Bombyx mori: one gene and its partner. The protein of the gene in region 1 binds, or shares a complex with, the protein of each later gene. Links are inferred from orthologs where the notes say so. Each region holds a gene or a part of one and is shown in the gene's direction. Other genes may lie near its edges. The genes, in order: serine/threonine-protein kinase fused and suppressor of fused homolog.

Region 1 (4,481 bases):
TGAAGGTGCCGGGGGGCATTCAGGTCAAAATGTCCGTGAACTGTGGTAACCGTCCAAATCCAGGCTGTATACGAGCTTCTCCACCCATCTAATGTAATAAAAAACAATTTCAGATAAATCAATAACAATTTCACTTCGCTATGAAGCTATTCTTTTCAAAAAAGGTTGACCTTTGAATTAATCCGAATCGAAGTATGAAGAATTTATTGAAAAAAATATTCGAATAAGGTTTTATGAAATATCTTCAAACAATGTAAAGAAAATAAATTTGTAGCTAACCTAATGTAACCAATGAATCATTTGGTCTTATCTATGGAGCCACTCACTGAGAATATCCGGGGAAAACTCAGGCGATTATGTCTGTGGATTAAGTTGCATGTCGAACACTTCGCCGCCCACTGAGTTTCTTGTTGGATATTCTTAGTGGGTCCGATTCAGTGGTAGATTCTGCGAAGCACTGCCCTTGCTAGGGCTGATTTTAGCAAATTCTCTCAGGTTGAGCCTGTGTGCTCATCTAACCGTAGTTGTAATAATTCCCGGCGAATAGGTAGGAGAAAAAAATATGATAAGAAGGCTACCTAATAGGTCGGGTTGCTTTTTCAAAGAAACCGCGTCTATGATCGCTTTTGGTCTAGAGACCTCGCCACTTTCCTAAGCCGGCTATTGTAAATTATTTTGTGGTCGTTTTTTGTAACAACAAACAAGGAATTTCAATTTTCCACGCTCGAATCGATTCTTTGGTTTTAGATTGAAAATAATAGTTTAAAATTACTAAAAAAAATAAGCTTTTATAAAAATTAAACTAAAAATAGAAAATAAATTTTAATAAATTTGAATTAAAAATAGTGTAAGAAAAAAATGATCTTATTGTAAAAAAAGTGTGGGTGGTTTTCAGGATATGTATTATCAAAATATTTATAACTGTTATAACCATGCACCCCACGGTTTCTTTTTACAATAAATTCATTTATTCTAAATTGTATATCTGTTATGGTGTATATATGGTGCTAATATAGATCCATTAATTTTGAAACTTCCTGTTTTTATTTATTGTTTTGCATTTCTCTGCTCCAGTCTTTTAACGTACATGATATTATGTATTGTCTATTTAGTGTTTCTTCAGGTTTAAATGTGTAATAACGTTGGTTTATTAACTGTTTATTATCTGTGAAAGTGCACAAATATGGGAAAATGAAACAAAGTCGCTGGACGTAACTTCTCGGGATCCTTCAAAAAGTCCACTGAAAAAATCAGTAAATGACCACCATTTTACTGAGATTATATTTCATCGCATATAATCTCATCATATTTCATTTAATTTTATCCCAGTTGATTAATGTCTCAAATTAATCATCTTCATTTCATTTCATGTCATGTTTCACTTCATTTTATTTCATAATGTCATATTTCATAAAATAAAATAAATTTATAAAAGATTAGGCTGTATGGTATGATACTTTTGCCTTTCTATTTGGAAAAATAAAATTACTACATTACGAAGAGAACAAAATATTTTATGTTTATTTACAATACATATGTACGACGACTGGAGCAGAGAAATGCAAATCAATAAATAAAAACAGGAAGTTTCAAAATTAATGGATCTATATTAGCACCATATATACACCATAATAGATATACAACTTTACATTTTAAAATGAATAGCTACGTTATAAATTCATTCGTCGGCGAAGGCTCATTTGGACGTGTTTTTAAAGCAAAACACAAAGATACCGATGCTGTAGTAGCCTTGAAAGTGATAAGGAAGGTATTTATTAAGTTTTTATGACTTTAAATACTTGGTGCCTTCATGATTTCCTAATTTTTTTCTATAAATGTATACCATCAATACAAATAAATTACAAAAAAAACTTGCGAGTGCTTATTAAATCTTCATTTCCACTATTTCCAAAATAATATATTTAATAAGATCATTAATAAAGTGTGATAAAATAATAATTGTACACACAGAGAATGTTATTAACCAGGTTTTCTTACTAGTAAAATTTTAAATGGTCTTATTCAGTTATCATGATCCCAATGTCTTCGCTGTCATAGATATCACGGTCAAACCTCTCGTCATCCACATTAGTTAATAAACAAATATTCTTACACAATAATTCAACATTTTCAGAAAGGTCGCTCGTCTAAAGACTTAAAATGTTTGAAGCAAGAATGCGACATACAGAGGCAATTGAATCATCCAAACATAATTCGGATGATAGACAGTTTCGACACTGATACAGAATTGGTAGTTGTCACAGAATATGCTGAGAAAGAACTACATGGAATATTGGCTAAGGAGGGTTGTCTTAATGAAGAACAAGTGAAGAAGATTACTTGGGACCTTGTGTCTGCACTGTACTACTTACATTCTCATAGAGTTTTACATAGGTAACTTGTTTGTTTCATATTTTATATCAAATAATAATACTAAACACACATTATTAATATTATATCATTATTGATGTAAATAATAATTATATCTAAACATTTTTTGGACCTTGGCAGGGGGCATAGCTAGGTGAAATCAGTATAATTTATTCATTTTTTCTCTATAGCCTGGCTTATAATAGAGACATTCATCTTATATCTCAATGTGGACAGTTATATTGATTGGTTCTGGATACTGAATCTATTAAGATTTATTTAAATAAAAAGATTAATTTGTAAAAAAATTGAGAGTAGGATAGAAAGTTATTATTGTTCTTATAGTTAATATTTAATTTGATCTGAGCTTTTAACGTTGAAATTGGATATTGAAGTAATTCTCATTGCATAAAATTGAGAAAGAAAATAATCATAGAAATATCTATGATTCATTTATTATGATTTTATATTATTCCTGAACATTTATCATACAAAATAACAATTTTAGAGACCTCAAGCCACAAAATGTGCTATTGGATAGTACAGGACGTGCCAAACTCTGTGACTTTGGTCTTGCAAGAATAATGACAAATGCAACACACATTTTAACATCCATCAAAGGCACACCATTGTACATGGCCCCCGAGTTAATTGATGAGAAGCCATATGATCATCAGGTAATTATATTAAAATAGCATTATATAAACAAAGAGTTATACTGTAATTTTCTGTGGAGATGACATGTTTTTACCTATGTCTTCCGTCTGACCTAACTATTCTTAGTAAAACTATAATTAAAAAAAAAAAACTGGTCAATCTGTTGCTTTGTTTTGATGTGAAAGGGCATACAAATACACAATCTAATAACAAACACACTTTCACATTTATAATATTTGTATAGTGTGGAAGTATGGATACTTAGTATGCATGCTGTTCCATCAATGCAGCTATGCTATTATATTATATAGTAATACTTTCAATTTTCAAAATTACATTAATTATTCTTAGTAAAACATTATTTATAACAATAATTGACATATTTTAGAGTACTTTTATTTTAATTTGTCCTTAGCCTAATTAATATAAATCAATAATTTCAGAGATTTTCCTGTACGTAATTAAAAAAAAAAAAACATGAATTTATGCTAATGATAGTTTATTCAACAATATTTTTATGTATGCATATATGGTAGGGTTTATATATTAATTAATCACTTTGCTATAAACAAAAGTGATTATATCGTTAAAACTTCATTTTATACAGATATTTCTGTCACTTTTTATGCACAAATATGCATCAAAACCTCATGGAATATTGTTATTAATCCTAAAGAGTTGCAAACATTTTTGTACATTACAGGGCTCCTTGTGGAAAATTTCAGCACCTATAACAACAGGAGTTAAAAAAATTTGCTATCACAATACTGACTAAATATCAATATAATAATTATCCAAATTGTTTTTTTTTAAGTATAATAATATGGGTGAATAAGCCACTTTGTGCTATGTGGTTACCTGAGCCCATAGATATCTCAATGTGTTTGAGCACACCTATTTTGAGACATTATATTGAGATCTCAATTGTATTTTTATTTTGTGTATTTTTTTCAGGCAGACTTATGGTCACTTGGCTGTATTGTATATGAGCTAATTGCTGGGCAACCACCTTTCTGTACAATGTCTATATGGCAACTTGTCCGCATGATTAGACACAAACCTGTACAGTGGCCTAGTTTCATCAGCACTAATGCTCGGACCTTCCTACAGGTTTGTTTGCTTTTGAGCTCTCACTTCAAGCTTTTAAAACTGCACAAATAATTTAACATTTTACGTTTAATTAAGTTATACTATTTGTACCATTAGTTTAATAGTATTAAAATATTTATTTAGGGCTTATTGCATAAAGATCCTTTGAAAAGAATGAGCTGGCCAGAAATATTGGAACATCCATTTGTAGCTGGTCACATTCTTATTCTACCAGAAGACGTCCAGAGTGAATCACCATTTACCAAGCCTTTAACACACAGTCAGCAAGAAGCCAAGCAATTGCAGCGGGAAAAAATATGCATTGGGAATGCAAGGTAATAAAAATTACTTACAGATATATCAGA
Region 2 (3,828 bases), on another chromosome or scaffold:
CCGCCGGATCGCGCGGCGCTGTCCGCGGGCGCGCCCCTGCCGTCTGGCTGCGGCATCGAGCTGACGTTCCGGCTCGCGGCTGACGGGGCAGAGCACCCCCCGCTGTGGCCGGCGGCTCTCTTGCAGGCCTTGGCCAGATACGTGTTCACTACAGGTCTGAATGTGACGTTTGTTCATAGACGTTTCTTGAGGTCAGTTTTTTTTATTTATTGCTTAGATGGTTGGACGAGCTCACAGCCCACCTGGTGTTAAGTGGTTACTGGAGCCCATGGACATCTACAACGTACATGCGCCACCCACCTTGAGATATCAGTTCTAAGGTCTCAGTATAGTTACAACGGCTGCCCCGTCCTTCAAACAGAAACGCATTACTGCTTCACGGCAGAAATAGGCAGGGAGGTGATGGTATCTACCACCAATAATTACTACGGTTCTTCTGGTTTAGGTAACAAGCTGTGCGCCGGGGACCACATATCGTGGCATCGTCCGCTGGACGGCGAGAGGTCCGGGGGCCGCATGCGACACCTGCTGGTCGCGACAGAGCCGCAGCTGCGACACGCTCGCACGCCGCACGGCATCGTCACCTTCCTACAGGTATCCTGTGTGCTCCTTGGGCCCATGGTCTGCTCCCAACATCTGCAGATCATCAAGTCTTACCTACCCCGCGCGCCCCCTAACCGTGGGGTCCTCGTAGGAAGTTCGTCCCCCTGTGCGTGTCTTGTTGCAGACAACGGGGACTTTTTGGCGGGAACGCGAGGAGGGAAGTTGTGTGATTTGTTTTATTTTGTCTATTTAGTGTTTCTTCAGGTTTAAATGTGGAATAACGGTGGTTTATTAACTGTTTAGTATCAGCTGTGAAAGTGCACAAATGTGGGAAAATGAAAGAAAGCCGCGAAAAATAAGAATATGAATTAAAATAAGACATGACCTAAAAGTCTTTGTTGCCAGGTCATAAACTCCAAAAAAAAAAGAACTGTCAAATTTTAAAATGGATTTGTCAAATAGAACAATACTAGTGGTCTCCTATAGTAGAATTATTTTGTCCGTGCAGTTTGGGTCATAAATAATCGGAGCGGTGAAGCGAATATTTCGCTCTCTCTTCAACTCACGAGCAACACACGAGCATGTGGGAAAATGAATCAAAGCCGCTGGACGTAACTTCTCGGGATCCTCCAAAAAGTCCACTGAAAAAATCTTAGTAAATGCCCACCATTTTACTGCGGTTATATTTCATCCCGTATCATCTCATCTCATTTCGTTTGATTTCATCCCAGTTGATTAATGTCTCAAATTAATCATCTTCATTTCATTACATTTTTCATAAAAATATGAATATAAATTAAAATAAAACATGACTTAAAGGTCTCAGTTACCAGGTCATAAAATCTATTAAAAAAAAAAAGGGATTCGATAATTATATTGTGGATGCATTATTGTTACGCGCTGGGGTTCGGGATAAATAAAATTATACCGAAGTACAAATTAAGACTTGGAACACTCAACAAACACTTTAAAATTCTCAATTCACTTCTTCCGCTTCGCTTTAGGTCAGCGGTTGGGGAACCGGGGTAAAATGAAATTTTGGGGTGTAAAAATGAAACTTTTATAGTAAAAAGTATATATTGAAGTGAAACTTCTTTAGAGTCGTGATTTCAAATTATCATGGAGGTTATAATATGAAAGATGCTAAGAAGAAGCGATTTCGTTTTTTTTTAGTTCTTCACCATGGGGTAATATCAACTTACACAAAAATATTTTAGGGTAATAATTAAAAAAGTTCCCCGACCGCTGCTTCAGGTGATCCGCTCGCTATTTCGCTTCGAGTAGATCCGATTACTAACTGGCTGCGTGCCATCCCTACAACGCTTTTATAGTCGGTACGACATCCCTAGAACTATCGAGAACATTCCACACAAGTCGAGTATTTTCGATAATCGTTTCTGCTATTATCCGACTATAGATGGCGTTGCTCTTGCCGGCGTAACATTATCCTTGTTTGTGTTAAAATTTCCAAACATTTTTTTCATCTTCGTAGACAGACTAGCAAACGTCCCATCTGATAGTGAGCCGATACCGTCGCTCATGGACGTCAGCAGTGCCAGGAACAGAACCAAGCTGCTACCGTTGGTACAGTTAACACGTGGAGCTCGCGTCTCTCTGGCTGTTGTTGATCATTTCCTATGACGTGAACCCGTAATGTAGAGTGACGGTCATGACAGTTCGTTGACCCGTTGAGCTCTGATTGTTTCATTGCGTGCACCGAGCGGCCTTAGAGTTGACCTCCCGCGTGTTGCAGATGGTGGGCTGCACCAGCAGAGAACTGAGGGCGGCCCAGAGGAGCTCCGTCTGCGAGGTACTGAAACTCATAGCGCAGGACCCGAGGTGAGTGGTGGTAGGACCTCTTGTGAGTCCGCGCGGGTAGGTACCACCACCCCGCCTATTTCTGCCGTGAAGCAGTAATACGTTTCGGTTTGAAGGGTGGGGCAGCCGTTGTAACTATACTTGAGACTCTAGAATTTATATCTCAAGATGTATGGCTCATTTACATTGTAGATGTCTATGGGCTCCAGTAACCACTTTATACAAAGTGGGCTGTGAGATCGTCCACCCATCTAGGCAATAAATAAATAAATAAAATGCGCCATAGACCAGCTGTTTTTTTTCTGTCTTTTCTTCCTATGCTGATAGCCTTGAGAGGCTATTTCAGCTTCACCTTAACGCGTAGGCGAGCTGTCGGGGCTCAAACCGGATGTGTTGCTAACACTGGCACAGAATCTACCGCCGGATCGGAAACGCGACCCACTGAGAAGATCCGACGAGAAACTCAGTGGGCTGTGTCTGTGGGTTAGCTTATTCGCCGAGTCCTACGTCGCAAGCGACGGGTTTGGCTATCTATGGCCTGGTCTATAGGCTCTAGTAACCACTTAAGACTAGGTGGGCTGTGAGCTCGTCCACCCATCTAAACAATAAAAAAAAGGGTAGTCGTCTGTTGGCGGGGTCGTGCGGGGGGTTGGGGGGGCGCGACCCGGCTACAGTGTCGCGCTGTGTTCAGGTGCGGCGGGTGCTGGCTGGTGACGCGCATGGAGCGGCGGGTGTCGGTGCGGGCGGGGGGCGGCGCGGGGGGCGCGCTGGCGCAGCTGGCCGGCGTCTCCTGCGACGTGCGCTGGGCCGCGTGGGAGGTACGTCTGTGTATTGTACTGTAGCGGACGCACGAGCTCATAGACCGCAGGGTCGGGCGGATGACACGTTAATATATATTTTGAAGTGAAAACTTCTTTAGAATCGTTGTGATTTCAAACCGGATGCAACGGAAAAAACGACAGGTAAGAGACACATATATAAAAATGTGTAGGATGAAGCCAGCAAAGAATGAGACAGAAATATACATACTATTTAATACAGCGCTATCTGTGAGATTTTTTAATACTAACGTGTGTATGAAAGCTCTTGTAGTGAATTTTAATTTAGGATTATACGTGAAATTAAAATATCAATTCACAGAGGGCGCCACCTTACAATTATTTACTAATGACAAAATTTTACATATACTTAAGACGTTTAGGATAATTGTATTTTAATTTTGGAAGGTTTCACTTCTACCACGTGTGAATTGCACACATTTTGTTTTTTTTTTATTGCCCTTATAGGCAGACGAGCGTACAGCTCACCTGATGATGAGTGGTTACCGTCGCCCATGGACTTCAACAATGCCAGGGGCAGAGCCAAGCCGCTGCCTAAATACTATTGATGAGTCCCGTGTATGCTGCACTCAATGAAATGCTGATCTGTACATGGCGGTCCACACCCCGGCCATCTGGTACTTGTGTG

Evidence for each region.
Region 2: the proteins of serine/threonine-protein kinase fused (region 1) and suppressor of fused homolog are in contact, whole or in part, in a crystal structure (PDB 6LPH), measured with the Drosophila melanogaster proteins. The link is inferred for Bombyx mori from reciprocal best matches to the Drosophila melanogaster genes fu and Su(fu). Residues at the interface, in NP_477499.1 of Drosophila melanogaster: Phe371, Val372, Ser373, Asn375, Ser376, Asn377, Met378, Ile379, Leu380, Asn381, His382, Met383, Asn384, Asn386, Phe387; in NP_536750.2 of Drosophila melanogaster: Leu18, Ile22, Pro33, Asn34, Pro35, Leu36, Gln37, Val38, Thr39, Thr40, Leu41, Leu42, Asp50, Tyr54, Met57, Arg127, Thr130, Trp131, Ala133, Asn134, Gln137.

The regions. Positions count from the first base shown.
Region 1 is NC_085116.1:10,508,032-10,512,512, reverse strand, and holds the start of serine/threonine-protein kinase fused, read left to right. Parts: upstream 1-1,470; 5' UTR 1,471-1,657; coding exon 1,658-1,768; intron 1,769-2,134; coding exon 2,135-2,394; intron 2,395-2,878; coding exon 2,879-3,047; intron 3,048-3,981; coding exon 3,982-4,137; intron 4,138-4,260; coding exon 4,261-4,451; intron 4,452-4,481. UniProt on the Drosophila melanogaster protein: Probable serine/threonine-protein kinase; maternally required for correct patterning in the posterior part of each embryonic metamere. May be involved in control of cell division during metamorphosis and ovarian development. May interact with costal-2.
Region 2 is NC_085130.1:19,120,400-19,124,227, reverse strand, and holds part of suppressor of fused homolog, read left to right. Parts: coding exon 1-154; intron 155-445; coding exon 446-594; intron 595-2,296; coding exon 2,297-2,382; intron 2,383-3,052; coding exon 3,053-3,179; intron 3,180-3,828.